2 linked regions of the Stegostoma tigrinum genome follow. The main gene of each other region encodes a partner of the protein of the gene in region 2 in a complex. Links are inferred from orthologs where the notes say so. Each region holds a gene or a part of one and is shown on either strand. Other genes may lie near its edges. The genes, in order: pdyn and oprk1.

The links.
Region 1: the proteins of oprk1 (region 2) and pdyn are in contact, whole or in part, in a cryo-EM structure (PDB 8F7W), measured with the Homo sapiens proteins. The link is inferred for Stegostoma tigrinum from reciprocal best matches to the Homo sapiens genes OPRK1 and PDYN. Residues at the interface, in NP_000903.2 of Homo sapiens: Thr111, Gln115, Trp124, Val134, Ile135, Asp138, Tyr139, Met142, Lys200, Glu209, Cys210, Asp216, Tyr219, Lys227, Val230, Phe293, Ile294, Glu297, His304, Ala308, Leu309, Tyr312, Tyr313, Ile316, Tyr320; in NP_001177821.1 of Homo sapiens: Tyr207, Gly208, Gly209, Phe210, Leu211, Arg212, Arg213, Ile214.

Annotation. Positions count from the first base shown.
Region 1 is NC_081372.1:35,921,856-35,937,487, forward strand, and holds pdyn (proenkephalin-B), read right to left. Parts: upstream 8,166-15,632; 5' UTR 7,986-8,165; exon of another isoform or gene 7,975-7,985; intron 6,845-7,974; 5' UTR 6,836-6,844; coding exon 6,716-6,835; intron 4,693-6,715; coding exon 4,033-4,692; 3' UTR 3,839-4,032; downstream 1-3,838.
Region 2 is NC_081358.1:67,907,323-67,923,351, reverse strand, and holds the start of oprk1 (kappa-type opioid receptor), read right to left. Parts: upstream 8,180-16,029; 5' UTR 8,030-8,179; intron 7,871-8,029; 5' UTR 7,863-7,870; coding exon 7,603-7,862; intron 1-7,602. UniProt on the Homo sapiens protein: G-protein coupled opioid receptor that functions as a receptor for endogenous alpha-neoendorphins and dynorphins, but has low affinity for beta-endorphins.

The sequences.
Region 1 (15,632 bases), on a different chromosome or scaffold from region 2:
TTTGTTTGCTAGGTAACATAGTTAGCAACGATAACAAAGTGTGAAGCTGGATGAACGATATTGGAGTACAGGTATTGGGGTGGTTCTTTTTCAAGAACAGCCTGAATGATGTTAAAAAACCTGTATTGTGCTTCAAGGGCATTATTGCTTGCAGAATCCAAGAATGCCACCATTGACAAAGAGGCTTTTGTGGCTACTGAGTCTGTGAAAAATATTCTGATTACGTTTTGGATCAGAAAATTAAAATTAAACCAGATCCTTACCCTTTGGTCTTGTCATTGGATGAGGAAAGTTTTTAGAAATGACTACTCATATATAACAATGTTGACTCAGAATTATGAGATTCTCATCTGAGATGTAATATGTCCAAAACAAATATCAGAGGTAAGCAGATGCACTTTCCAGAGCCACAGTTGATGTGTTCATATCTGATGATGATGATTTTGGGGCTGAAGTACACTTGAATGCACAGGCAATAGTACTGTTTTGGTCAGCCACATCAAACAGTCTGAACCTCATCAGAAAGAAGCAGGCAATGAATCCTCGCTCATCATTCTTCAAAGCATAGCACCCAAGAATGACCTAACATTCAGTTTGCATCCTGTGCTATGAAGACTTCCTTTGAACACAGACAGCACTTCTCTATTAGCAAAGATTCATTATTTTTTGATGATCAGCTGGTAATGTCCTATTCATTGCAGAATGACAATCTTCAGAGGATTCACTCAGGGCTTTTAGATACAACTACGTGCAGAGGAAAAGCTTATGTAGTTATTTTACCATCAAGGATTTCCAGATAGTTAGAGCACCTTGTTGTTAATTGCAATACATGAGTTATACACAGCTTTGAATGGTAGGGCCCTTTCATTCCAATTAAATTTCCTGATGGACTTTGGGTTTGTATGGGCATATACTTACTTGAAGATGTTAATTCTTACCTCTTTTTGGTCAATTACACCTTAATATAATTTGAAGTTAAATAACTATCATCAATGATCACTGAAACCATTTGGAGACTGCTGTGTGAGATGTTTTCTGCCCATGGTATCCTAAACATTATTACTTCCAACAAAACCACACAGTTTGCTCACGAAATGTTCAAAACATTTGCAAAGACCTTCCGCTTTCAAGACTTCACACATTTGCTCACATATTCCTAGTCCAACGAAGTGACGGAAGTATGAATAGTTCAGACAGTAAAGAAAAATCCAGACTTACTTACTGCCCAACTTGTTTAATCCTCCCCCACTCTGCTGGAAATGTTGATGGGATGCTGAAAACAACTCAGCTTCCTACACTGTCCAGCAACTTGCTTCCACAGGGCATTAGTAGAATTATTCACACTGCTTCCCAAAGGAGCTGCTAACTCCAGAGTAGGCAGGCACAGAGCTATAATAAACAAGACTGAACTAAGATGTCTAATTTAGAAAATGGTCAACTGCTCTGGATAAAGGATGTCACAGAAAGGGTACAGTTAGACTGCATGAACCTTTCAAATATGGTATAAAGTTACATCTTCAATAAAAATGGTCGTCTCAGCTCATTATTCTGACCTACTCACTTACTTTCCTCACTGGAACCGTCTGCCTCACTGGAACAAAATCAGGCATCGCTGGTGGGTGGTGCGTCATGAATTATTATTGTCTTTTATTTGATCTCTTGGTTCACACTATCCACTCAGGATGTGTGGTCACATCATGAGGTCAACAAAATCATTGATCTAATGGAAACCAACAAAGATCACCATTTTACTTCAAGTGTTTCTACATCTTCCTATAGCTTTTTCCTTATTCATCTATCACCAAAAACGAATCAAGGCATATTTTTAATCAGTTAGGAAGCAAGAAGTATGGGGGGAAAGACAGGAAGTGGAGATGAGGGTTATCAGATCAGCCATGGCAGAATGATGGAGCAAATTCAATGGGCTGAATCGTCTACTTCTGCTCCTACATTTTGTCTTATAAGTTAAAGACTTGAGGCAAGGGTAAGAGAGATAATGACAAACTGTACAGTAATTGCTGTAACAGGGAGTAACTTAAGTAACACAGTTGAGAATATGTAAACATGTTAATTGATGGTTATAATGTTGGAAAAAAATTTGGGGAATTGTGAGGGCTTTAAGACCCTGGTGCAACCTTCAAATGATGTCATGGCATTGCTTCCAATGAGAAAATGTAGCACAGTGGAGGCAGTGCTAAGTTAGAGTGAAGAAAGAACATGTAGAGTATGATCTCTCAACAATTTAACGATAAGCTCTGAACCTGGTATATCTGAGATTACCATATAAAGTTGAGTAGTGTTATATAGAATTAGATTTATTGTCACGTGTGCACTCACATGAGTGCAGTGAAAGATTTACAAAGTCACCACTTACAGTGCCATTTTATGTACAAGGTACCCAGGTATGGAATATTTGAATTTTAGTGTTAGCAGGCAATAAACTGTTCTACAAAACCTGAGCTTGCAAACAATTTTGACTTATCCTTCTCTTTGGCCAGCTTGTCTTGAGCCAAAACTCTCAGGCGTGGTTCTAAAACCATGTGAGATAAAATGTTTTAACGATTCCAATCCTATTATTAATTTGAGGACTCTTTTCAAAATAATAAATGAATAGTAATGTCTGTCATCTCACTAAATTTAAAAAAAAGTCTGGGACATTTTGACAATTCAAAAAGGACTCTTTAAGTACAAACACAACAAAAGATATTACATCAACATAAAGAATCATTTTTTGAGGCCAAGTGACCAAAGTGAATAGTTTTCCTTTGATGCCTTCACGGAGTACCAATGATTGAAAACATAGCTTAGAGTGTAAGTTTTAAGTTTATCATGTGTGCACTTGAGATGTTCACTACCTTCTTAACCATGTTGTTATTTTCCCTGCTCACACATTACACATCTCCTGCAATGATTATCACACTGGATTGAATACCTGATGACATCACATTACTCCTTCAAAGCCCACAAAATGTTTGTGGACAGTTATCAGCATAGTTATTGTGCTGACCTCAAAATTCAAGCTGCAATTTCCTGTCACCAAATTTCTCATCTAGCAATGGTGATCAAGATCAAGGTATCTGATGAGAAGATCTGTATAATCAAATTTGGAAATCTATGCCAGAACAATTTTGGCAAGAATACAAAGGCAGCTCTGATTAAATTAGAATGAGAAACGTTTTAAAACAAGCTGAATCTTCCAGCAAGAAAACTGCCTGCCAAACAACATTTTTGTTCATAAGGGATTTAACCTAAATGTTAGCTGTGAAAGCTTCTTCATACAAATAAATATTCTCATGGTACAATTTTCATTGAAAGAGATAAGCATAAAAGAAAATTACAATGAGTCCTGTGGAACATATCTGTTATTTGCTATGTCTATGATCATAATGTTATATTTCTTGCAGTTTACAATGCTCATGATGTAATATGTGTTCATGTCACTGAGATCATTTCACTTCTTACTTAACATGTAAAATGTATTGCTAAAAAAGAACTTTACAGCCTTTCTAATGTTAATTGCTGCATGAATTTTGCATGACAATATTTCATCAAATCATTTAGAATGGATATTTCTTTGTGTACCAGCAACTTCAATTTGGTGACCATACAGAAGTGTGTCAATTGTCAACTGGGTCTAAGCATGTCAGTGAAATAAACTAGTTGTGCAACATGACGACATTTTTAACGATGATTTATGTCAATTTTTAAACTAAAAAAAAGAAACTAAACATGCCAGCTTTAGTTTGCATGTTAGCCACAGACATTGCTTACTTTATTGTAATCTAAGCATGAAAAAAAACTATTGAGGTTCCATTACAGGAGGCAAACAAAAACAAAGTCTAGAGAACTTTTTTTTATTGGATTCACAAACTATGCCAACAAAGTACAGATTCAACTGCTGTTTAGACAGCCTATTGTAAACTTAATAGCAAAAATATCTGTGCATTCAAAACAATACATTTATAGTTTCAATACTGAATCTATCTTGGCAGAATGCTCTCTCACATCTAGTTGCACATCACTTCGGCTCTTTTAGAAGTCTGAATTCTCTTCAGAATAATCATTTGCATCACCATCATCTGACCTGACTGAAACCCGGAAATGGCGCCTCAGGAAGCCACCATATCTTTTTTGATTATCCCACTTATATCTTGGTCTGCCAATTCTTCTCATAAAACCCCCATATCTCTTTTGAAGCTCCATGTTTTGATTTTCTTCATCACCCAGTTCTGCACTTCTCTTGTAACCAAAGCCTTTCATGAATCCTCCATAACGCTTTAGCTCTTGGATGTTGGGGCTGTCACTACTTTTTTCCAGAAGATTCTCCACTGCAGCTTCAAGTTCCTGAGAATTCTTCTCTAATTCAGTTGCATCCCTTTCGTCAAACTTATGCAGAATTCCTCCATACTTCAGATTTTGTCCATTGTAACCATTTTGTTGGGCTAATTGTTTGGCATAAATTCTGCTCTTGTCAATCTTCTTCATGAAGCCCCCATCATGATTTACAAGACTATTATGCGGTTTTCCAAAATGTGCCTCTGCACTCTCATCTTCCTTTTCATCTGTGCCTAGGTCAAGAAGATCTTCATTGACAATGCCAAAATGGTCAGGCTTGTACGAGTGAAACGCTTTATCACATTTTTCCCACTCATTGGTAGAAAGCACTACCCCTTCACACTCTAAAGTGCAGGTCTGGAAGATAGCAATTAGAAGATAGCACTTTTCACAGCTACATTAACTTTCATAAGAATAGTATTTCAATTGGTATTGGCCAAAAAAGACCTTAATTAATAAAAATTAATTTCAAGCAAATAGCAATTTTATTAGTCAAAAATGGCATAATTTGTATCATAAAGATGTTAGCAATAAAAAGAGCTTTTGCATGTTGCTGTATTTTTCATGTAGAAGTAAATGGACAACAAATTCTATTCTATATGATGTGGTCCAGACAGGAGTGCCCTATTTGTGAATAGTTAAACAAGGATACTTATTTGACCTCAACATGTAATGGACAGCTAATGTGTAAAAAGTAAGTAAAGATAAAGAAATCCAGAAATGATAGAGATAACCTTCTGCTCCAGAGATTGCAGTATTTACTGTTATACTTGGTACTGAAATTACTGTAATGGTATAAACCTCGGGTCATTCCCCAAATATCCCGCACTGAAAAACAGTTGAAAAAAGTTAGAATTTGAGCATGCGAGTTAATTAGACTTTAACAGTAAAAGTTGTGAAAATTATTGGGGAACAATATCAGACCCTGAAAAAAAGCCATTTGCGCGTCGCCGAGGGGAACATCGGCTTTTATCTCGACTGGTGGTATTTGATCTCCGGAATGTTTCCAACAGTATCTACTTGTATTTTAGAACTGCAACATTTTAGGGGTAACATCGTTCTGCAGTTATATCAGAAGAGCTGCTTTACAAATGCACGTTCTTTTCAAAGATTAAACAGGAGCAGGATCATTATGTACATTGTTTTTGAAGGACAGTCCTGTGCTTACACTCTCAGCAGGTAGAGGAGTTTAATTCCAAACACCTCAAACCTGGCAATAAATTTACCAAACGGAGGGCAACCAGAGTAGCGGAATGGCAATAGAGAGCAGATAGAAGGATTGAAAAATCGTTAATCTTGAACTTCTCCGTTATAACCAATCTCCATTCAAACAAGCTTTTCAAGGTGTTAGAAAACACCCCCTGCCGAACATTTGCTGTTGCGTATTTCAGCTAGCGTTAGAATATTATCTACCCATATGTCGAAGAAAACGATAGCTTGCAAGAGTTTAATCTTACTGGCTGCATTTATAGTTTTGCACTTATTTTGTTCTCAAACTGCAGCTAATTAAGCAAGTTTAATCATCAACACTATTCCATCTAGACGCGTTCTGGTTGATAAATTCCCAACTGTTCTGCAATTGCTAGTAGCTGTTAAATGCTCCACAGGACACCGCTATTGTTGCTGCCCATATATCACTTACTGTTTCTAGTCGCCTGGTTCGTTATATTGGGCTACATTCTACTGCGTGTTCTTATTGTGACTCGGAAATCGAACATATTTCCACGCAACAGAAACTACTGGAGAAACTCAGCAGATCCAGAAGCTTCTGTAGAGAGAGAAAGCCGGGTTAAGTTTCGGCACCGGTATGACTCCTCCTCAGAACTCAGTCCTTTCGGAGTCGTTAACTCCGTTTCCCTCTCCACATGGATGCTTTCAGACCTGCTGAGTTTCTCCAGCATTCTGTGTTTATTTCAGATTTCCAGCATCCGCAGTAGACATTTCCACATCCTTGTCACGTATTGCAGCATGTAGCTAACAGTAAATATATCTTCCTGGGGAGGTTGGAACGCTAAGTAATCTGCTTTTTTTGAGCGTTGGTATAGGTATATACAGATTTCATAGCCATTCCGAGCGTGTTGATCTGAATGCTCGTAGAAAACTCGCAAGTTTACTGGACCAACAGTCGCACATAAATGAAAACAGATTTCTTTCAATTAACTAATTCTACTGCGAAAGAATACCTGAGGATAAATATACGGCTATTATTTGTGTCCCTTAATCTGGTTGATGGGAATGAGTGGCACCTCTGAATGTATTCACTACAATGAGACACGGCTCTGTCACCAGCTGATTCATGTAGAAAACTATAGCTCGTGCTGAGCCAAAATTGAGCGTTACTCTGATTTCTGAACTGGATGACCGAGTGCGGTTATCTTACCAATGGTTTGATTGAGCTGTCTAGGACTGAATTGCATGTCGAACACCAGTTGGCACAATCCGCGTGGACCGTGTGCAGTGGACTAAAGGACAACACCAGGACAAACACACTCCACTCCATCACCAGCCTCTGAAACATCAAGCGTAATTGTCCCTAGAACATTGCTTCCAACTCAAACATTGGTTAAAAAGGAACATATTGAGGTTTCAGATCGAAGCTTTTAGACAAGGATTTGGGTGAATTCGAAAACAAAAAACATTACATTGAAGACGCCTCTGCTCATTCAGATCCTGAAGCAGCAACTACAGGTTTTCTACTTTCATCTTCAACTTCCATTAATTGACCTTTGTCAGGATGGTTTCCGACAATGGATTCGGAGAAATACCCAAAGATTCGAAAGTTGTGGACTTAGAAGCGTTACGTTGTTATTTAAGTTTTGCAGCAGTTACTACCGCTTGCAGAATGTTGGAGAAATTGGTTCGGCTAAATAAGTTTCTAAATTTGAACATTCTAAATGTTAAATCAGTATTCCATGGCATTCCATCTCAGCCGTTCTGCACCTTCATTAACATACATTTGAACACTACATAAGCAAAGAACGCATGAGCTGTTCAGAGAAGTACAATTGTATGGCTCCATCCTTTATATTAGGCAAGACCTTCCAAAGGAAGACCCTGAATGTTAATATGATTGTACAGCTTAGTCCAAACACTAATAAAAGTTAAGAACTAAAGTAGATTTGAACAAGTGCGCTACCAACATAATTCAGAGATTATGCGGGGATGGGAAAACTGTGATATCTAATTTAAAAAAACAGTTCTCAGTTACAATTCAAAGAAGAAATGGGTGAATCTCTTGCCAAGAAATGTACTGTAGGAACCTCCGCCAATTAGAAATTCCTTGGCGGAGCAACTAGTTCGGATCTTTGTTGTGCAATTGCAAGGAAGTGAAATTTTGAACAAATTATTGTTACCTAAAATAAATTGTGCACGGGCTTCACTATTCCCTCAAATGAATCAGTCGCGAACCGATCTTTGAGAACACGCTTGGATGGTCTTCACAGATCAGCAGCTGTTTAACACATTAGTGTGTAACTGCGCTATTCACTTCAGGTGGAAACTGAGTAAATAGTCAATCGAGAAAGGTTAGCTATCACCAGCGTGAACTCCAGGGTAGTTTCACTGTACAGAGCTGCCCTTTAACCTGCATCCCTCTAGTTAGAGATTCCTATCAATACCCGATACTTGATGAATACTTACTTTCAAATTACCTGGATATTCCTTGAGAACGAACCAGTCGGAATCGCTGCAATTTTACCGGTGAAAAGTGTGGACTCCCTTTGTGAAGCGCGCCTTACAGAAACCGCTCCCGTCCACACAGCTATCCTCCGCCTCGAGAAGTGAAGCTGAGATCCAGGGTTTTCCAACCTGCAGCCTCCAGCATCCGCTATTTATTTACCCACAACGTTATGCTGACATTGGCGACGCTGAATGCACGTCTTTTTTGAGCCAATGACTGCATCGATTGGATTAATTATGGTCCAGCAATTCCCTCAAATGCTACCAACATATTGCATAGCCGTCACACTCCCGCGCAATGTTATAAAGACAAGTACAATTCGGGGTTTAAAAATAACAGGCAGTAAATTAATTACTCTTGTCTGGTGCTACTTTGATTGTTGACGTTTTCTTTTCGTGAAAATGCGCTTTTTATGCTGGAACCGAGCCTTCGCTGTGAACACTCACTGCGCTTCCCCTCTATAATTATACACTGGGCGAAAGTGTCAACCCGATTACCTCTCATTTCTGGGCGGCATCTAAGCAGCTTTAATTTCTTGCAGTATTCTCCAACTGTAAAGTGAAGCAATTTTAATTCGAATTAAAAATGTACAAATTAAGAGATTTCATTCAAACTGTGCCGGCCTGCTGTATTCATCCAGCTCCACACTTTGTACCTAACTTGCCCTCTGCCTCTGGCAAATAGACAATTAAACCGGCGCCACAATAACACTGGATAACAGTCAGCAACAATACCTTCTAATTCATTTAGATGGGCTCCTGCTAAAGTTTCTACATTACATTATGCATGGACAATAAAAATAAACTAATAGTTTACAAACACATTACTGACTGATCACAGGTAATTAAAGAGATTGCATCTTGTGCCTGTTGAAATAAGCGTTTTGAGTTTCTATATATAAGCACATTTTAGTTAGGTTTAATTTTCTCTTTCAGGGTTAAACTGATTTCATCATTTCTCCTTTAATCTCTCTCACACACTCATGGTGTGGTGCAGCCATACGAACTGTTAGATGTGTATCGATTACATTATTCTCGAATCACACAGCCAATGTGGATGTACAGGGAGAAAGTAAATCCGGAATATTGAGACGAATCACGATACATTGCAGACAATAGGACTTGGCAAAGCCAAGTGTGCTGGAAGCCAGTTAAAACATAAGGGCCACAGCAACGCTCCTGGAAGGGGAGAGCTGCCAGAGATAATGGGAACTGCAGATGCTGGAGAATCCAAGATAACAGTGCGTGGCTGGATGAACACAGCAGGCCCAGCAGCATCTTAGGAACACAAAAGCTGGCGCTTCGGGCTGCTGTGTTCATCCAGCTCCACACTTCAGGGGAGAGCTGCCAACCGGTTTACATTTTTCACCATTTTATTAATTGCTGATGCAAATAAAAGTTCAACGTTGCCAGGCCACTTGAATAAATACAATCACGGAACAATAAAATCAGGAAGGGTCACAGGACCCGAAACGTTAACTCTGATTTTTCATCACAGATGCTGCCAGACCTGCTGAGCTTTTCCGGCAACTTCTGTTTTTGTACCAATAAAATCACGTGCTTGAATTAATTTTGGTCACGGTCACGTAATCCATTCTTTGATCACTAAAGAGAATGAGATAAAATTGACATCGCGTGATTATATGTCCGAGGTGGAAGGGGATTGCAAATTAGTGATATTTCTCAAGGCCATTAACGCTGGTAGTGCTTAAGTACGGCAAGACTGTACTTAACTGTCTTCAGTTTATGTACTGGCATGCTCCAGTTGTAATATGTATTAGTTATGTAAGTTACATTATTTCACCATATTTAAAGAAGTTTCAAGTCTTGTGCTTTGATCAAACCAGATGTTAGTGTACACAGAATGACATCATGCGGATTTGAATCTGAGAAGGTATTTAATCTAGTGAGCCACTTGGTAACATCATACCCTTGCTCATTGCCCATATATTTTAATACTCACCTCTTTCAATCGTCACTTGTTTACTTTTGCATCTTTCATGTAAGAGAAAAGGTAATTAAAAAGTAGAGATAGCACTTGGCTGGCTGCTGTTAAGTGCCGCTGAGGAGCGGACTGGAAGCTGGAGCGATGGGGGACAATTGCTGGACTTGGGCCTAGTGCCGCATGCTGAGTTTCTGTTATCAGACTATAATATTTTTTTAAAAAGATCGCTATGTTGTAACTAAGTAATGCTTTTGCTTTCCTTTAATCCTCTGTGTAAGACCACTTTTTTTTTAACTCTATAAGATTTGTAGCTAGGTACTTGTGCTTAAGGTGCCGCCATTAAAAGGCAGCCATTGTGAACATTTTTCACTGTACTCCTAGACTTCTATATTGTAGTAGAAGTGACAATAAAGAATAAAGGATATTCTACACCTAAAAGTGGGTTCCAAGGCATTGAAGCAGCAAATAGGAGGGGTAAACAATACATGGATCAAAAGGTGGCTTTTAGAAGATTTCTCAAATCAATAAGAAGAATTGAAATTCAGTGTTATTAGAGAAGAAGCTTCCAAAAGTAAGACTAAAGTAGCTGAAAATATGGGTTTCAATCTTAATCAACAATAATATGGTACTTGTGATACAAGAACACATCAAAAGATGTGAGAAACCATAAAGGAATTTGGAGACATGGCTGAAGGTTTAAAATTTATTACTTTGGGGAAGATAATGCTTTATTGTAGGCCAGTGCTAGTGTGATGGGATAGCTGGGTCTAACATGCAAAAAAATGTAATCTATTGTATTTTGAATGGATGTGACTATTTACAAGACTACTTAATTTCCTGACTTGGACTTAAATAATGTAACTGACAGAATACTTCAGTATTAAATTATTTTAAAAGCAACAATGTTATGTATTGTTTTTATTAAATATTTTAGTCATACTTTACAAATTGACTCACACGTGGACACTACAAAACTATATAGCATGAGAAATGGAAATGTCACAAAGGTATAATTCAGTTACTTTGATAACATATTATAAAGTAGATGCAGCAGTGATTTATATATAGACACTTTGTGAGAAAGTTCTAGCCTTGACGGTGAATTGCACTACATAATGCAACAACCTCACTTTGAAACGCACAATGGCCAGGGGAAAAGTCTGCAGATCTGACATACTTTATGTTTCAAGTACGTAGGGGAAAAAAAACAAAGTCCAGGGCCACTGACTTCTGAAAATTGCAATCAACTTAGTGAAAATACAAACTTAAGCTGAAAAGTTGAAAGAATTTCTTCCTTTTCTTACAAAGAAATAAGACTATTAGAAAGTGAAATTTCATGAATCAAGATGAAAGATGTAATCAGTTAGCATTAGCACAGAGTCACTGGTTGGTTCCTGAATAAGATATAAGTGAATGATGAACTTGGACTGGACATGGGAATATTGCGAGAGTGGGCGAGGAGTTATTGTGGAGAAACTACCCAAGACAATAAAGCCTCTTTATTATCAGCTTTGTGGCTGTCAATAATACGCATGCAGTATTAATTTGTTAGTGGTCATGTTGACAGAAGAATGTTGATCAGTCCAGCCCATCCTTTTAAATAAGTTAAGATTATTTTTGTTGCATCTTCACATGTTTTTAATACACTTAAAAACTGGGTAATGTTAATGGTAGAAAGCCATGCCTTCTTTCATCTTTACTATTATCCTACTTTTTTTCAAAAAGTTGGTTTGCAGTACAGAATGATGCCAAACAGTGGGTTCAATTCCTGCACTGGTTGAGGTTACCATGAAGAACTCTCCTTAACCTTTTCCCTTGTCTGAGGTGTGGTGACCCTGAGGTTAAACCATCACCAGTTATACTTATATCTCTCTCTCTCTAATGAGAGAGCAACCCCATAGTCTGGTTAGATTATGGCAACTGTACCATTTTACCTTTGTTATTAGTTTAAATCTTACTTCTGTACTGAAACATGATTTTGTGCAACGTTTAAAGACATTGACCATCGCTGGCGAGGCTGGTATTTGTTGCACATTTCTAATCCTAATTAGTTGCTTGGTAGTCTTAGTGCTATCGTCAGATGTGTAGGTCATACATCCCAAATACTGGTGGACCATATCAAGCAATGCAATCTTTTGACTATCTGCAGAACCAGTGTATTGACTGTTTTCCACCGGTCAATGTTTATAAAACTGAGAATATAGTTTCCAACATTATATGTGATTCTCCTATTGGACAGCATGTACAAAATAATCCTGACCACACAAAATATGACATTATATTATAAGATTATCAGCTGGGATCATAATGTGATTTGTTTGTACGTACGATAAGATGCATTTATTCTCAAACAGGGCTCTGTTCTTTGTAGGCAAAAAGAATTATATAGCATATTGCACCTTTTTGCTGCATAATGGGAAATGGATTCAACCCTTGCTGTATCTGCATGGCAAAATCCTGACCAATCACAGTTGACTTGCCTGGTTTAAATTTAATCAGTTAACACTGACAGTTAACAGTTGTCCTGCACCCCGTGCTTACTTTCTAAGTGGCTTTCTTATGTTTTAGATCTGATTAATGCAAAATGAAAAGTTTCAATGCCTCTTTTTCGTGATGCTTAAGTTCAGTACTTTACCTGTGTCCTGTTTTGCATTCTGTACATGAGAAAGAATGTGAAGGTGCTGGAGATAGTGTAGTGTAGAAGAGGTTTATGAGAATTATTCCAGAGATAAATAATTTCAATATAAACACAGATTGTAGAAGATGGGACTGTTCCTGTTGGAGAAGAGGAAGTTTAAAGGACAATGGTTGAATTATTCAAAATCACAAGTGATTCAAACAGAAAGAAACAGAGGGAAAATGTTCCCACTCATGAAATGATCCAGAATGGGAGGGCACAAATTTAAAATAATAAATAAAATAAAGAAAACTGATACAAGGGAAAATGTTTTAACGTAACAAGTGGATAGTATCTGGATAGCATTGCCTGATAGTGTGGTGGAGGTAGGCTCCTACCTTGACTCCTCAAGATCTTCTTAATCAATGAGATTGTGAGTATTTCCCTTTGGCAACTTCCTGTACATAGAATTCCCTCTATTACTGTCTGTCTATGAGATGCATAGATACTCGCTAAATGTTGCTAACTGAGTTTTAAGTAGAGGTCAATTGAAACCTGATTGTTGTCCCTGGCACAACAAGGTATAGAGCTGGATGAACACAGCAGGCCAAGCAGCATCAGAGGAGCATGAAAGCTAACATTTCGGGCCTCGACCCTTCTTCAGAAAATGTTGACCCTGGTCTGTCTTTCTGCACGTCATAAAAATTCAACTTTGCAAACACTCCATAAATTAGCTAGCCATATAGCTTAGATCAAGTGTTCTTGGAAAAGCTGTTTGAGCTCACTGTTCCGAATGACTTTCTGACTTTTGTTAAAAGAGCTAAGAAACCTTCATAGAACTGGAAAATAAAATCAATGTTGCCTCCCTTTCAAAGCTAAGTTCCCAAATAATAACAATATTCTACTAATCAAAATATTCTACTAAGCAAAATTGAAGCCTGTGTTTATTCATTCATATACACATTGTGATTCCTGTAGTTCTAAGTGATACAAAGTCAACATCACTGGCACTCTCATGAGTTGGGCCATCAACTTGCTGTGTAGGATTGGTATTGAAACAGGATGGATCCAAACAATCCTCTGGATAATTGATACCCTCATCATGATATCACTCACTACATATTGCAGAAACTCACATAAGTGTCTACAACCATCACTTTTCACTCTAAGTGATGCCCTACTATGTAGATAACCTTACAAGAAGAAGTTATCTCAAAAATTTCAGCAACAAACTAAAGTTACCATGTTATTCTGCTACTTATCACAAAACACAACAGTGGTGTTCTCCACGAACAGATTGCTGCCACCAAGCAAAAAGACATTCAACCAACCACACAGATGAGTAATGTGGTTTATGACTTTCAGTGTTGTTGTGATTCCAGGTACGTAGGTTGTACATCTTGATTACTGGCATACCATATCTAACAACATGCCCTTGTGACTGTCCATGGCAGGAAGTATGCCAATGTGCTCAACCAGCCCATGCTTGAAAATCTCAGAACTCAAACTCAAAACTTCCTTCTCAACAGCACTGTGGGTGGACTTACCCTCTGTGGAGTGATTCAAGAGGGCAACTCGGTATCACCTTCTCATGCACAATGAAGGATGACGAATAAGAAATAAGTCAGCTATGCCAACTTTCCATGATTGAATAAAAAAATGTTCAGCTCACAGTTAACTAGAAACTACATTTGTCCATGCATAGGGCCCTTTTCTTCATGGGCAAAAATAAGTCTGCACATTGCAGCTCTGTCATTGAGGAAAGGGCCATAAAGACAATCAGTTCCCGCTGCCATCCTGTGACAGTGCTCTAATCAATCAGTGTTGACTGGTTTGAATTTAATCAGCTAATTAAGACAGTTAACAGTTTTTGCTGCATCTCCATGCCAACAACAATCCAACCAGTCAGCACCCTTGCTTGGAAGGTGCTGTCAAAGCAGACCTGGTGAGTTGCTGTAGTATATCTTGTCAGTAGTCCAAATTGCTGTAACTGCATCAGTGGTGAAAGGAGTGATTGTTTCAGCTGGTAGACCTCTGCTTTGTCCTGGTGATGTTGAGCTTCTTGAGTGTTGTTGGAGCTGCAGTTATCCAGGCAGGCAAATGGGAAGTAATCCATCACATTCCTGACTTGTTCCTTGTAGACGGTGGACAAGATGTGGATAATGAGAAGGTAAGTTACTCAAGTCACAACTCCTAGCTTCTAACCACAGTATTTGTATTGCTTGTCCAGTTGAGTTTCTGGTCAATGGTGCCCCATTGGTAATGTTCCTGTTAGCGAATTATGCAATAATCATGCCATTGAACAGCAAGTGGAGATTGTTACATTCCCTGTTGTTGGAAATGATGATTGCACAACACATGTCTGATGTGAATTCTTGTTGCTACTTTTCAGCCCAAGCCTGAACGTGGTCCATTTCCTATTGCAGGTGTCCGAGGAATGACAGGACTTGTACTGTTAATGGTAGGGCCCTGGAGAGTGTTGCTAAGCTAAGAGACCTAAGGGTGTATGTACATAGTTCCTTGAAAGTGGAGTCACATATGGTGGGGGTGGTGAAGAAGGCATTTGGAATGCTTAGTCATAAGATTGAGTATAGGAGTTGGGATATCATGTTGTGACTGTATGGGATATTGGTGAGGCCACTTTTGGAATATTGTATACAATTCTGGTCACCCTTCTATAGAAAGGATGTTGTTAAACTTGAGAGAGGACAGAAAAGATTTACAAAGATGTTGCCAGAACTGGACGGTTTGAGTGATAGGAAGAGGTTGAATAGACTGAGGTGTCACATGATAGAGGTTTATAAAATCATGAGAGGCCAAAGAATAGCCAAAATCTTTTTCCTAGGGGGAGAGGTTTAAAAAGAATCTGAGGGACAACATTTTCATTAGAGAGTGGTGCATGCACAGAATGAGCTGCCAGAGGAAGTAGTGATTTTTGTTCTGTATGTCTCAATCACTCCGTGACCCTATCACTGGCAAATGGTGCTGAACATTGTACAATAGCAGCAAAGATTGCACTCTTCTGAACTTATGATGGAAGGCAGGTCAATGATGATT
Region 2 (16,029 bases):
GCAACAGGCACGAATTTGGCTCCCATTATAACTAGCTGGTGTGACACCCAACACAGTCAATGTATCTTGGCGGCAGCTAACATGTTTGAATTATGCAGCACTGCTTTTTACCATTTTCATTTGAGCTACCACAACAAAGCAGAGGGCAGCTAGTTGTGGGCAAGGGCTATCTGGTGATCACATGACTCATGACTCCGGTATATGATCTGATAATAATACCAGTGAGCGTATTTTTGCGTACAAATTTTGAGCAGAAATAGGCCATTCAACTTTTTAATATGCTCTGTCATTCAACAATATCTGATCATTTCATGTTCACTTGATTATTGAGAATCAATCTTCTGAGCTTTAAAAATATTCAATGACCCTGTTTATACTTCCTTTCAAGGAAAATAATTCTAAAGAGTCTCAATCTTCTGTGAGAAAATGCAGCACATTGTGCAGCAAATGTGGTCTCACCAATGCTCTGTATGACTAAAGTATAACCTCCCCACTTTTGGATTCAATGCCCTTTGCAATAAACAAAGAACAAAGAACAATATAGCACAGGAACAGGGCCTTCGGCCCTCCAAGCCTACATAGATACATTTAGCCCTTCCACACCAAAACTGTCTTCACTTACAGGATCGATATCCCTCTATCCATGCCAATCACAATCTTATAAGCTTCTATCAGGTCATCCCTCAACCTCTTGCGTTCCAGTGAAAACAAACTCAGTCTATCCAGGTTGCACTGTTTACATACTGCGTCAAGAAACCTTCATGAATGGTCCTGACAAATTCTGGCCCATCCAAGCCCCTAACAAGAAGCGAGTCCCAGTCATAATAGAGGAAGTTAAAATTACCCACCACAACAACCCTGCTGTTTTTAAACCTTTCCATATTCTCTTCTCCATCTCCCACCGTCTGTTGGGACGCCTGTGGTATACCCCAGCATTATACTTTCAACCTTTCTGTTTCTGAGCTGAACCCATATTGCCTCGTTGTAGAAGTCCTCTGTTTTATTCGTCCTCATTGGACCTGTAAGATACTCCATTACTACTCGCCCACCCCTTTTACATTCCCTTCTGTCACACCTGAAACATTTAAATTCTGGGACATTTAGCTGCTAGTCCTCATCCTCAGACATTCAGCTTCCAATCTATTGGCTTTCCTAGTTACTTGCTGATCCTGCATATTAACCTTCTGTAATCCATGCACCAAGACATTCAGCTCCATCTGTATTTCAGAGCTCTGTGATCTTTCACTGTTCAGATAGGATGCTTCTTTTTATTTTATATCCTTTCTGCCAAAATGAAGAAGTTCACATTTCCCACATTATACTCATTTGCCCAATTACTTAAAGGATTCTATATTTCTTTGAAACCTCCTTGAGCCCTCTTCACCACTTACTTTCCTAATTATCCTTGTGTCATCAACAAATTTAGCAATGATACCTTCAGTCCCTTCATCAAAGTATTTCACATAAATTGCAAAAGTTCAACCCAACTCTGATCCTTGTGGTACAACACTCATTTCTTCTTGCCAACCAAAGAGCAAACATCCATTTATGCCTGATCTTTGTTTCGTCTTGGCTAATATGTCTTCTTTCTGTGCCAATGTTAGCCTTGATATGAAGAGCTCTTATTTTCTGCAATAACCTTTGATGTGGCATCTTATCAAATGTTCTCTGGAAAACTGAGTGCAGTACTTTTACCAGCTCCGCCTTATCCATTGCATATGTTTTACATTAAAGAAACCCAATAAGTTGGTCAAACATAATTTCTATTTCTCAAAACCATTACTGGTTCAACCTGATTACTATAAACCTTTCAAATTACCCTGTTGTAACATCTTTAATAATAGTTTCTATTATTTTTATCATAACCAAACAAACTAATCTGAATAGAAACTGAAAGAACTGTGGATGTTGTAAATCAGGGACAAAAACAGAAGTTACTGGAGAAGCTCAGCAGGACTGGCAGCATCTGTGAAGTAAAAATTAGAGTTAACTTTTCGGGTCTTGTGAGGTCTGAGGAAGGGGCACTGGACCCGAAATGTTAACTCAGATTTTTTCTTCACAGATGCTGCCTGACCTGCTGAAATTTTCCAGCAACTTCTGCTTTTGTTCCTTAAACTAATCTGCCTGTGGTTTCCTTCTCCTTACCTGTTTCTACATTGAATAAAGTAGTTACATTAATTAATTTCCAACTTAATCAACCCTCCCCAAATGTATGAGACTTCGGAAATTTAAAACCCATGCAAGTTCATTCATCAATAGTCTCACAACTTAACATTCACATCGCCATATTGCATGCAAAGGTTGATTAATCAAGCCCTCCTGTGCACATCTTCCTGCTTTATTTCTTCTGTGCAGTTTGTTTTAGCTACTGCAATCTGAATAATAAAATAGTTTAATTAATGGAGACTGCAGGTAGTACTGCAGGAGAGCTCCAAGCAGTTCAGATCTACAGGCCCAGTTCAAAATGCACCAGGTTGGTACTATGTAGCATAGAGATCCATGGCAGTGTGGAGGTGGTGTAGTGCAAGAAGGGTATGACAACAGCAATGTGGTATAGCAGCACCACAGATGATAATATAATTGCAACAGACCATTTCTCTCCCTCTCCATCCCCTCCTTAAAGGTCTCCAGTACAGTGTCTGAGAATCATGGAATGTTCTCCATTGTTGCACTGAAATTCACTTTACTGAATTCAGAGAGTTCAAACTCACTTCCAGAAAAGGTTTCAGCAGCTGCTCCAGTTTAAAAGCACTTCCACATTGAGAGTTGCCAGCTGGTTTTAGGTAACGTAAGCTTTTTCTGAGTGGTGGCGCGCGTGCGCACGCACACACTTGGGTATCGTGCAGTTCCCCAGTACATGTGATAACTGTGATAGGTTAATCACACAGCATGTCTCGCGTTCTTTTCGGGGTTTGTTGAGGTTTGCCCACTATGTGTTTGCATGTAATTATGACAATGTAAAACCAAAATCGTTTTTTAAAGAATAAAACACAAATTCAAAGTTTAAATTTCTAAGCTATAACAGCATGCTCCATTCAGTTGACATAATACTCAATGTTATAACCATCCTTGCAATATACCATCTGGGTCAATTGAGTATCAAAAGCAAAATACGGTTTATGCAGTGGGCATTTAGGTGTGTAGATCATATGCTTTCTTCTTGTATGCAACAGTGTTTATGTTACTCTACCAAACATTTCCAGAGACATGAACTGATGATTTTGTTATCTGGTAAGTTTAACTGCCATTAAGCCACCTGGGAAGTTTAAATTCAATTTGGTAACTAAGTCGGGAATAAAAATCTTTCCTCACTTCTAGATTGTTGTAAAATCTCATCCAGTTCATCATGGTCCTGCAGGGAAGAAAATCTCCTGTTGTGATCTGTTCTGGACTATACGTAACTCTGGGTCTGCATCAATATGATTGACTCTTAACTGTCCTCTGAAATTATCTAGTAAGTTACTCAACAAATTCAAGAAGGAGCCTCACCATCAACAACTTCTGAAAGCAGAGATAGTAAGAACTGCAGATGCTGGACAATTTGAGATAACAAGATGTAGAGCTGGATGAGCACAGCAGGCCAAGCAGCATCAGAGGAGCAGGAAGGCTGATGTTTCCTTCTTCGGAAATGGGGGAGGGGAAGGGGGTTCTGCAATAAACAGGGAGAGGGAGGAGGCGGATACAAGATGGATAAAGGAGAAGATAGGTGGAGAGGAGTCAGACAGGTCAAAGAGGCGGGGATGGAGCCTGTAAAGGTGAGTGGAGGTGGGGAGTTAGGGAGGAGATAGCTCAGTACAGGGAGGACGGACAGGTCAAGGGGACGGGATGAGGTTAGTAGATAGGAGATGGGGGTGGGGCTTGAGGTGGGAGGAGGTGGTAAGTAGGAGGAAGATCAAGTTAGGGAGGGGGGGACAAGTTGGGCTGGTTTTGGGGTGCAGTCGGGGGAGGGGAGTTTTGAAGCTTGTGAAGTACACATTGATACCATTGGGCTGCAGGGTTCCCAAGCAGAATATGAGATGCTGTTCCTGCAAACTTCGGGTGGCATCGTTGTGGCACTGCAGGAGGCCCAGGATGGACATGTCATCTGAGGAATGGGAGGGGGAGTTGAAATGGTTTGCGACTGGGACGAGCAGTTGTTTAGTGCTAATTGAGTGTAAATGTTCTGCAAAGCAGTCCCCAAGTCTCCACTTGGTTTCCCCAATGTAGAGGAGCCCACAACGGGAACAGCGGATACAGTACACCATATTAGTAGATGTGCAGGTGAACACCTGCGCATTTCCCTCCACACCCTTATCTGCTTTCCTGAAGGACCACTCTCTCTGGGGCTCCCTTGTCCGCTCCACACTTCCCTCCAGCCCCACAACACCCAGCACATTTCCCTGCAACTGCAGGAAGTGTTACACCTGCCTCTGCACCTCCCTCCTCACCCCCATCCCAGGCCCCAAGAAGACTTTCGCATCAAGCAGCACTTCCTCCCACCTATTCCCTCTTCCCACCTCAAGCCCCACCCCCATCTCCTATCTACTAAACTCTTCCCGCCCCTTTGACCTGTCCGTCCTCCCTGTACTGAGCTATCTCCTCCCTAACTCCCCACCTACACTCACCTTTACTGGCTCCATCCCTGCCTCTTTGACCTGTCTGCACTCCTCTCCACCTATCTTCTCCTCTATCCATCTTCTATCCACCTGCCCATCTCTCCCTATTTATTTCAGAACTCCCTTCCCCTCCCCCATTTCTGAAGAAGGGTCTTGGCCCAAAACGTCAGCCTTCCTGCTCCTCTGATGCTGCTTGGCCTGCTGTGTTCATGCAGCTGTACACCTTGTTATCTGAACTTCTGAAAGCAATCAGATTTGGAAAATAATGCTGATCTTGCTAAAAATGCCCACATCCCCTAACATGAATAAAAGAACAGTATCAGCCTTAAAGACATATAGCATATAGTATAGTATGCTGTGGGTGAATCATTTAATTTAATAAACCGTGTAAAATCCAATTTGGATTGATATCCTGGCAGATATTCTTAGGCGGGTAATTTTTGAGCTGACATCGAAATTGTGGACAGCCTGTCTGCACGTGGAAATATAGACAAAAATATTTTGGGGTTCAGACATTATTTGAATGTAATGATACGGCTGCAGGTGCTAAACGCAACTACACTATAGTTTGATAGTTGTGGAAGATTAAGACATAAACAACTTTTTGAACTGAGCCTGGTGGCTCAAGCAGGGGCACTCCTATCTCAGGATTCTTGTGACACAAGGAGAGACAGTGAGCATTCATCAGCAGAGAACTATAGTATTTTATGCAGAGCCCCAGTAATTCTGTCTGTGCAAATGGGAAGAACACAAACAATTTGTTGTTTATTAATTCACAGGATGTGTGCTTTACCAAAATTTAGTGTGCATCCTTAGTTATCTTTGAAAAGCTGGTTGTGAGCCAGAAACTCACAAAATAGAAAGTTAAATTTCATATTTAAGTATATTCTCACCTCAAACAGCAAGGTGTAACATTGCAACAAAAACAGAAATTGGGGAGAAAATCAGCAGGTCTGATAGTTTCTGTGAAGAGAAAGCAGAGTTAATATTTAAGTGACCCATTTTCAGAACTGATTGTATCTAGGAAAAGATGATATATATGCTGAAAACAGGGGATGAGAGGGGGTTAGAGATGGCGCAGTGGTGTGAAGAAAGAAGAAAGGAATGAGGGGATAGGCAGAGATGGAGATGGAGCTGAGAAGGAATTACATTTAGGTAGATATAGGGATTGATATTGCGCCAGGGCAAAGAAAAACTGATAATGGGCATCGTAAGTAGATGAAAATATGCTGACTGTGCTGAAAGCAGCTCATGTCATGATTGGGCTTAGATCTATAGATGAGTAAAGGCGTTCAAGTTTTAAAATTATTGAACTCAATAATAAGTCCTGAAGACTGTAGGTTCCTCAAGTGGAAAATGAGATGCTGTTTTTCCAGTCTGTGCTAAGAATCACTGGAGCTTTGCAGTAGGCTCAAGATAGAATTGTTGGCTAGGGAGCATGATGTTGTGATGAAGTAGCAGGCAACTGAAAGTTCGGGGTCATTTCTAAGACAGAATGCAGGTATTCTACAAAGCAGTTACCCAGTTTGTGTGTTGTGTATACACACACACACATATATATTATATATGCCATCTTTTGCCAGCTACTATCACCTCTGAAGATTGGTTACTGGACTCAAAATATTAACTCCACTTCCTCTCCACATCTGCTGTCAGACCTGTTGAGTTTCTCCAGCAACTTCTGTTTTTGTTCATGATTTCCAGCATCCACAGTCCTTTGTTATTTTTATGTGCAGTATTACCTTTTATGGTTATATTTAAAAATTGCAGTAGGGAGCCCTTGGACAGATGTCTCTAGGGTGACGGCAGTATTAATCCTCTCAATTTTTGACTGCTGAAATCTTGTTTTCCAGCTAAGTATAGCATGGGTAGCAGTTGACAATGCCCACCCTACACCCATCACCAAATTATTATTTTGCACCAAAGTTCATAGATGGTTAATTTCAACAGTATTTCAGTGTTAGCTAAATTGTTAAGAAAACGGGTTACTGCACACACCAGGAACTGACGACTATGCCTTCCACTTAATGGAGAAGTCGGTATTTATTGTGAGGAAACAAATTTACATGCACCATTGACAATTTTTTTTGAAAACTGCATCAGCATGTTTGTGCTTCTATGTGTTCAGAACATTAAAACAGATTTGGCTCACGTACCAACTTGAAACACAAATTATTACATCTGAAATTCAAACAAAAAATACAGAAACATTTAACGAATTAGGCAGCACTGGCGTCAAAACGGAGGTCAGATTAACATTTTGGACCGATGACCTTTCTTCAGAAACCATATGTCGTGCTCAGTGTTTCCAGTATTTTCCTGCAGTGCGCTGTATTTTATGTTTGTTAATATACTTGACATTTCTCTGTGTAAAAAAATTACCATATTCCAACATTAGCCCCCAACTAAGGTATTTTCCCAGTTCCGTCGAAAACGTATTTATTGTTCTTGAGAGAATGCTTTAGATTAATCTGTCAATCCAAAGTCAGTGCCTATTGCTCCCATTTGGGGGCGTTATAATTATAAATCAAACCGTTGTCTAAAAGAGTTCAGGATTTCATTACCACTGCTAATGCACTTGTGTTTGTCTAATTGTGTTAGAAACATGTTATTTTAAATTAGCCATTAACTAGAGAGTAATAGAGGGGACCTGGCTGAATAAATCCCAATAATCTTTGTCTGATAAGTAACAAGTAATAAAAGAACTGTACAAATTACGTTGACCCTGAATATTCCGGCTGTTCGGTGCTGTAACAACTATTAATCTACAAACTGTTATTAACCATTCACACCACTTCACAAAAAGGTCCAATTGTCCGTATTTTGCATTAAGAATTTTCCATCAAATTATTTTATTTCAACACTGGTCGCAGTCGCCAGATTTTTTTTTCTCGCACTCATGCTTTCTTCATTCTATTGGTCTTATCCCGAAAGTTTGACTTCACGATCGTTCTCGGGAATGGTGAACATGCCAGATTGAAGGGACAAATGAAATGAATTTTCTTACCTTACGATCCCATACATAACTAGGCAGTTGCCCACCGTACCCACCACAAAAATGAGCGAGTAGACAGCGGTAATACTGATGGGGATAAGGGTGTTCACTGTGTTCGTGTGAAAGTCAAAAAAATCCGTGCTGTTTTCCAAATAATATGAAGTGGTTGGGAAAGTGCTGTTTGGGATAATGCCAGGGGTACATTCATCAGAGAAGTGCAACATACATTTGGAACCCATGCCTTCTCTAGTAATTACCACTGAAGTGCCCATAGTCTCATCTATAAAAAGAATAAAACAGAAAATTTTTAACATAAAAATACAACATAATCTATATATGTATAATAAAGACTAAAACAAGTGCTTGAAGAAAATCTTAAAATATTGAACAAGTAGGACCAGGTACAGAGGCATTATTAGGGACATGAAGCAATTCTTACCCAGGTTTATCGAACAGATGAGATTGAAAACTTCTGTGTAACAGTCGATAAGTGCAGAGCAAAGATCACCGACGTGAACTTTTCCTTGTATGCAAGGTGAGGTGTGAACAGCCGGAACCCCTTGCAGCTGGATCTGCCAGCGTACAAACGTTGGAGTCGCTGCTGCAGCGCTACACTTCTAACGTAGCATCCACTTGATGACGCTCAGACCAAACGCAGCTCGATGGAGGCGGGAGCATTCAGTACGTATAAAAACCAACACCTCTTTTCAGAGTTCACCGTGGCAATGTTACATTATACGATGGAAGCTATGCTAACAGGACTAGAAGCATTTACAGCCGTTTTACTCAAATCTCGCTGTCCAACCTAATCATATTTTCCAGTTTTTCAACATCTTGGTAGATTTCAATGCATATCAAATAATTTTAAAATGTGATTCGTGCTTCCATCTGTCCAGCGATTGAGTTTGAGACCCTCACTGTCGTCTGAACCGAAAATACCTCTTCAACCTTCATTTAAACCTTCTACCAAATGCTCTGGGAGGATCACCTGACCCGAAACGTTAACTGTTTTCTCATTCACAGATGCCGTCAGACCTGTTGAGCTTTTCCAGCAACTTTTTTTTGTTCCTGATTTACAGGATCCGCAGTTATTTTGGCTATAAATAATGTCCCTGATTATCGAACCCTCTGAAGAGCGGTAAAAGCTTTTTCTATCCTGTCTCCATACTCACCATTTTATTAATCAATTAAATCACCTTTCAACTGTCTCTGTTCCAGCAAAGACAAGCCCAGTCTATTCCATCTTTCCTCAAAGTTAAATAATGTAAGTCTTAGCGATATTCTTTTGCACGTTATCTTATGTTATTATTTATTTTCAATAAGGTGGTGTCCAGAACTGTGTGTAGGGCTTTGACTGTGGCTGAAATTGAAGCTTTCATATAACCTCTCGATCCCTTCATTCAGCATCTAAAGCAAAGTTGGAAAATGGTTTGTAAGTTTACTTAACTATAACAGTTGTCTGTCCTCTAGTCCTCTAGCTTCAAGCATCAGTAGCCATGTCTAAATTTGTCAATATACTACCAATTATTCTACATCCTCTTACCTTATTTGCCTTTCCCAAGTATAGAAACCCTACAGTGTGGAAGCAGGCCACTTAGCCCACTGGATCCACACCAACCCTCCAAAAAGTATCCAGCCCAGACCAACCCCTCTAGCCTGTAACCCTGCATTTCCCATGGCTAACCCACCTTAGCCTGCACTTTCCTGGACAATATGGGAAATTTAGCATGGTCAATCCATCTAACCTGCACATCTTTGGACAGTCGGAGGAAACTGGAGTACCCAGAGAAAACCCACACAGACATGGGGAAAATGTACAAACTCCACGCAGTCTCCTGAGGGTGGAATTGAAACCCAACCTTTGGTGCTGTGACACAGCAGTGCTAACCACTGAGCCAATATGCCACCTATATTAGATAGAATCTAATATTTTTCCAGACTGAATTTTATTTGTCACTTTTCTGAACAGGCTCTTTAATATCATTCTTTAGCTGAGAGATTTTATTCTCACCAAACATACACTATGCTTCTAATGCACTGCAAACAAAGTGCATATTGCAAAATCCCTCATCAGCAACAATATTTGCTTCCGGTCATCATGTCAATTTCAAATTCAACCTGCTACCTTTTGTTGGATCCCATCCACATTTACTGTACCTATACTAGCCTGACATCTTTTCAAAACTATTATCATGTGACCTACGATAATCTAGCAAGCACTCAGAAAACTATTTAATTTTTACACTTAAAAAATTAATTTCTCCATGAAAATTTTTGCATTTCCTTCAATCAGCACATTTGTTTAGCATTCAGTACTTTGGTATTTTTTCCAAGGAAGTGTAGAATCCTGTCTGTGTGTATACATAACAATGTGTTACTTCATAAAATTTATTGCCAAATATGAAAAATCACCTTTTCCAAGTTTGCAGTTTGAGTGATCAGAAAAAAAACATTGCATGCAAAATGCGGTAATCAATTTTATTTTGCTATTTTAGTTCCCATGCTTAAAGATGTTGCTATATTTTCCCCTCCAATTTTCTTCTCCAAAGAAAACCGTTCGTTGAATATATCCAATGCACCATATGAGTTGCACTATAGGAGTGGACTCGATGGGCTGAATGGCCTTACTTGCACTCCTATGTCTTATGTGTGCATGACGTTACATTAATTAAATGAAGAACATCTCTCAAGAGGCCATTTAGAGTACTGCATGAAAGGTCACTGATGCTGACTGCAAATGCACCTTACATTTTAGTAATCACCAGATTACCTAGTAGATAATTATTGAATGTGAATTAAAAAGCAACAACAACTTTTATTCATCTAGTGCCTTCAATGTAACAAAATGTTCTAAGACACTCTCCAGGAGCATGATAAAATTAAGTTTAGCATTGAATCACATTAAATGACATTGGAACACATGGCAAAACCTAAATCAAATTTGAAGGCTTTAAGCTATATCTTAAATGAGGAGAAAGAAAAAAATATGCATTGAAGCCTAAGAGATGAATTGCAGGGTTGCAGACTTTATAAAATGAAGGCAGACCTGCCAATTATGAAGTGATTAACGTTGAGAATGCTAACTTGAGGTCACAGTTGGGGAAACACATGTGTCAGAAGTATTGGAGTTGGACAAGTTGGCATTGTAAGAGCCAGGGAAGAATGGGAAACAAAATAAAAATTTTAAAATCAAGGTGTTGCTTAACTGAGAGATAATACACATTACCAAAGGACAATTGAGGAAAGGGATTCAATGTGAGTAAAGACATGGGCAGCACAGTTTTACAGTAACTCGAGTACTCGAGTTTAAGAAGGGTAGAGCTGGCCATAAGCGCATTGCAATAGTCAAGTTCAGAGAATTCTAGCAGTAGTTAAATGAAGACAAGGCTGTATCAGATGATATTTGGGAAGGGGGAAAGGATATACCCGTGATGGAAATGGAGTCAGATCATCTCAGTACCAAATACACTCTCAATTTTGCAAACAGCCTGGTTCTGCCTTAAATAGTTGACCAGAAGAAAAATAGAGTTGATGACTGTTGAACGTATTTTGCAGAAGAGTCTGAAGAAAATGGTTTTGATCTTCTCAATAGTTAGGTCAAGGAAAGTTTTGCCGATCCAGCAACTAGAGGTCAGACAAGCAGTGTGATAATTTTGAAAGAGTTATTGGTGTTCCACAACTGGAAACTGTCAGAATCCATGTTAAAATTGAAATCCTAGTTTGGTTGTTGAGGTGAAATATGTAGATGATGAAAGACTGTGGATAGATTTTTTGGGACACTTGAAGTTAAATTCAGGAGGAGTAAGCAAGCCATGCAGGATACAGTGAGATATATAATGCAGTCAGATAAGAGTTGGCTCACCATTTTGAATAATAGTGGTGAAATGTAGAAGGATTGTGAGGTCAACCTTCTAAAAACTCATAGCCAGGTCAAGGAGGGTGAGCAAGGATAGCGTGCTATTGGCACAGTCATGTAGGGTGATACCCATGACTATGGAAAGCATCACTTTTATACTGTGGTGGGGCAGAAATCTGATCGAAGTGATTCAAACGCAGTTCTAGGAAAATTGAACACAGATACGAGAAGCAATAACATATTCAATAATTTTAGAGGGAAAAACAAGGTTGGAATGATGTGGCAGAGGAATTAAGTATTGCATTTTTGGGAAAATGGGGAGAGTAGCAAATTCTAAGGAGGACATAACAGGACATAATGAGAATGAACCATTAATAAATATCAGCTAACTTTTCTAGAGGAGGATGTTAAATGATCAATACTTTATTAAGAATAGCACCAAATAAGTGAAAGTGATCTCTGAAGCAAGATGATCTCAGGCAAGGACATGAGGGAAAAAGCTGAGCAAATTCATGCCTAGCGTGTTAAGCGTACCTTAGAGAAAATTCTATGCATTTGTCCTTATGGCATCATAAATGACTTGACCATTTTTTCATGAGCTGGGGCTGCAACTTAAACATTAAACTTTGAGGAACCTAAGACAATTTAAAAGAACTTTGATTCAAATAGAAATGTACATTGTCTAATTCTGGTGATATTTCTGTGGATTTATTCATAATAGCTTTGGACCAGCAAGAACAGGCATAATGCTCCCACTAGATTTTACTAGGCGACTGGCAAGGTGATGAAAAGATGCCATATCTCTCACTACACCTGTGTGTAAAGTACTACTGTGAGGATTTAAATATATGGCTGAATATAATGTTCTGATCCCTGTGGAGAAGTATAAGCTATAAGAACTAAACTTACCAAACAAGCCAATGGAGGAAACCAATGTACATAATGTAACTTTTTATAACTCTTACTTCAACAATCAAACCAAACTCAAGATAAGTTAAACATGAGTTAACAGTCAAATCAAATTTAATAGCAGCTATAAATTAGATTTTAAATAAGCCAATACAAAGACAAAGAGCAATAAATTATTCAACAATGGCCAAGTTCCATGAATAAACCTTTTAAAAAATGTAAGCTGTGAAATTTTAGCTGATAAACCTTTATTAATGGTGCAATCCAGATTTGTGGACAACTTTAAAAACCTTTTTTTCCCTGCCAAGTACATCCATATTTCAAGAAGGCACAAATTCAAGATGTGACAAACAACTGAAAGTCTGACGCTGTAAACTTCCTAAAATGCAATATTGGCCTCACATAGTAATCTAGCTGACTGGTATTCAATTGGCTGATACTACCCAAGGTGGGCAGCATGTTGCGCCTCTGTCTGGTATTGTATGTGCGCCTTCAAATTACAATCTCCATAACTGGAATGGCTCATCACTCACAGACCAATGCCATCAAAATAATGAAACTTCAGGATATTTAAATCAGTCGACCTCTTTTGCAATGACCCTGGTACATTTCTCCTTATGTAATATGCAGCTATCAATTATGACTCTGAAGGTGCAACTTTTGATTTTCTCCTTAGCAAAGCACTCATCTGCTTGCAGTTTCACAGATACAATTCCATCTATTACAGTTTATAATTCCAGACAATTTCAAAGTTAGAACTTTGGTTTAGAAGTCATACATAATACTACATTTTTATCCTAATAACAGAATTAAAAATATTCTGCTTACAGTGAGAGCAATAGTTGGAAATGTTCACCCAAAAATTGGCCCTCATATAACATTATACTTAAATGTTGATTTTTATTAATTATCAGATGTCCTGACATCATAATAATATGAAATAAAGTACTGTGGATGCCGGATGTCTGAAACAAAAACAGAAATTGTTGAACAAACTCAGTACATAGAATCTTTGGTGTGGAGGCAAGCCATTCTGCCCATCAAGTCCACACTGACTCTCTGAAGAGCATCCCACCCAGACCCACCCTTCCCATGGCTAAACTATCCAGCATATCCCTGGTACTATGGGAAATTTAGCATGGTTAATCACCTAACCTGCAAATCTTTGTACTGTGAGAAGAAAGCATAGAACCTAGAGGAAGTCCACAAAGACAAGGGGGTGGGGGTGGAAATATGCAAACTCCACAAAGACAGTTTCCCAAGGGTGGAATCAAACCCAGGTCTCTGGCACCATGAGGCAGCAGCAAAAGCTGTTGATCCACCATGCCATTCCATCGGGACGTATGCCCTGATATGTGCACTTCTGGACTACCCTTGGTGAGGAATGTTGGTTAATAAGAGGCATTCAGTACTGCTAATGGGTAGAAGTTGGTTGAAAGGAATTGTTCAATGATACTACAAATTGTTACATGTTTGCCTTAGATTAAATATTAAAAATAAAAACAGAAATTGCTGGAAAATCTCAGCAGGTTTGGCAGCATCAGTGGAGATAAATCAGAGTTTAATGTTTTGGGTCAAGTGACCCTTCCTCAGAACTTTTCCAGCAATTTCTGTTTTTATTTATAATATTTAATCTAAGGCAAACATGTAGCAATTTGTAGTATCATGGAACAATCCCTTTCGACCAACTTCTGTTCAATAATGGGGAAGAAACAAGAAATTAGAGACAAGGCGAAGCATTTACAAAAGTGACTTACAAAAGTTCAAAATTGTTGTCAAGACAACATTTATTCTAAATAAAACCCAAAAGAACTACATATGCTGTAAATCAGAAACAAAAAACAGAAATTGCTGGAAAAGTTCTGAGGAAGGGTCACTTGACCCAAAACATTAAACTCTGATTCATCTCCACTGATGCTGCCAAACGTGCTGAGCTTTTCCAGCAATTTCTGTTTTTGTTTCTGATTTACAGCATATGTAGTTCTTTTGGCTTTTATTTAGAATAAATGTTGTGTTGACAACAATTTTGAACTTTTGTAAGTGCTTCAACTTGTCTCTAATTTCTTGTTTCTTCCCCATTATTGAACAGATGCCTCTTCATTAGGTGTGCTCTTTTATCGTTGTTATCAAGAAAGTAACAAGCAGAAATTCAGATGATAAAAGGTTTATCGTGTATCACCAGCATTTCTGTCACTTCTTGAACAATAATTTCCTGAAACAGTTTTGGAAAACCACAACAGAGCTCATGTTTTGTGATGAGGAATAAAGAGTTAAGACTTTCGGTGTTTAGTTTTTGTATGAATGGTTTCCTGAAGCTGCACTTCACCTTAAAATAATACAAGAATTACCTCATGTTCATTCCAGACCTAGAAATTACATTAATCACGGTCAATATAATGTCAGTGTGTGGAAAGGTCATCACTGCTTTCAACTTATACGCGACAGGATCATTATGGGCTATGTCCAAAGTCCAGTATTAACTATTTAGCTGCTCACAGAAACATGAACCAAGTGAAAATACATCATTCAGTACATTATCTTCTTCACCATTCACCATTAATGTAACATGGACCTGCATATTTACTGTGTCACAGAAATTACAATGCCATCAACTCAGGGTAATTTCCTAGCCTTAACTATCTTCATCTGTGTCATCAATGACCTTCATGCCAGTCTTAGGTTAGAGGTTGAGATGTTTGCTGATGACTGCATAACATTTAGCATCATTCATGATTCTTCAGATACTGAAGCAATTAATGTTCTTACACTCCCAGACAATATCCAGACTTGATGTGATGAATGGCAGGTAACATTCACCACACACAAGTGTCAGATAATGACTCATCAAAAAGAGAGAGTCTAACCATCACCTCTTGACATTCTATGGCATCGCCGTCACTGAATCCCTTATTATCAGCACTGTACACGTTATTGTTGGCCAGAAACTGAACTGGTCCAACATACACAAACTGTGGTGACAAGAGCAGGTTAGCAGTTAGGCCTATCCACCAACTATATGGCACAAGTTAGGTGTGTGATGAAATACTGTTTACTTACCTGGACGAGTACAACTCTAGCAACATTCACAAAACTTGTCAAAATTAAGGAAAGAAACAGTCTACTTGATTGGCACCCCTTCCATTACTTTTAACATTGCCTCTTTTCACAAGCAGCTCACAGAGGCAGCAGTATGTTTGAAATGCAGTGCAGAAATTCATTATAGCACCCCTAAGAAAACATTGCAAACCCACAACATCTACAGCCTAGATGATCAAGAGAAACAGACGCATGGAAACATCATTGCCTGTAACTTCCTCTCCAACACACACACCATTTGGACTTGGAACTTTATGGCTGCTTCCTCATTGTCACGACATCAAAACTCTGGACACTCCTTCCCTAACAGAAATGTGGGTGCCGATACACCACATGGGCAGCAGTGGCTAAGGAAAAGGCTCACCAACACATTTTCCAGGACTAATGTTATAATATTTGTGGCCTTTAGGATGTTGAGGACCACAGAGATATAAATCATATAAGGCTGTAGCCTCTTTCTGTTACTCAAAGGGACTACCCAAAGGTTTTGTTGTACTTCAGCCCCACATTCCTGATCTTCAGTATCTAGTGCAGAAAAGCAGGCAAAACAGAGGGCCTTCTTATTGGTCTACTGCAGG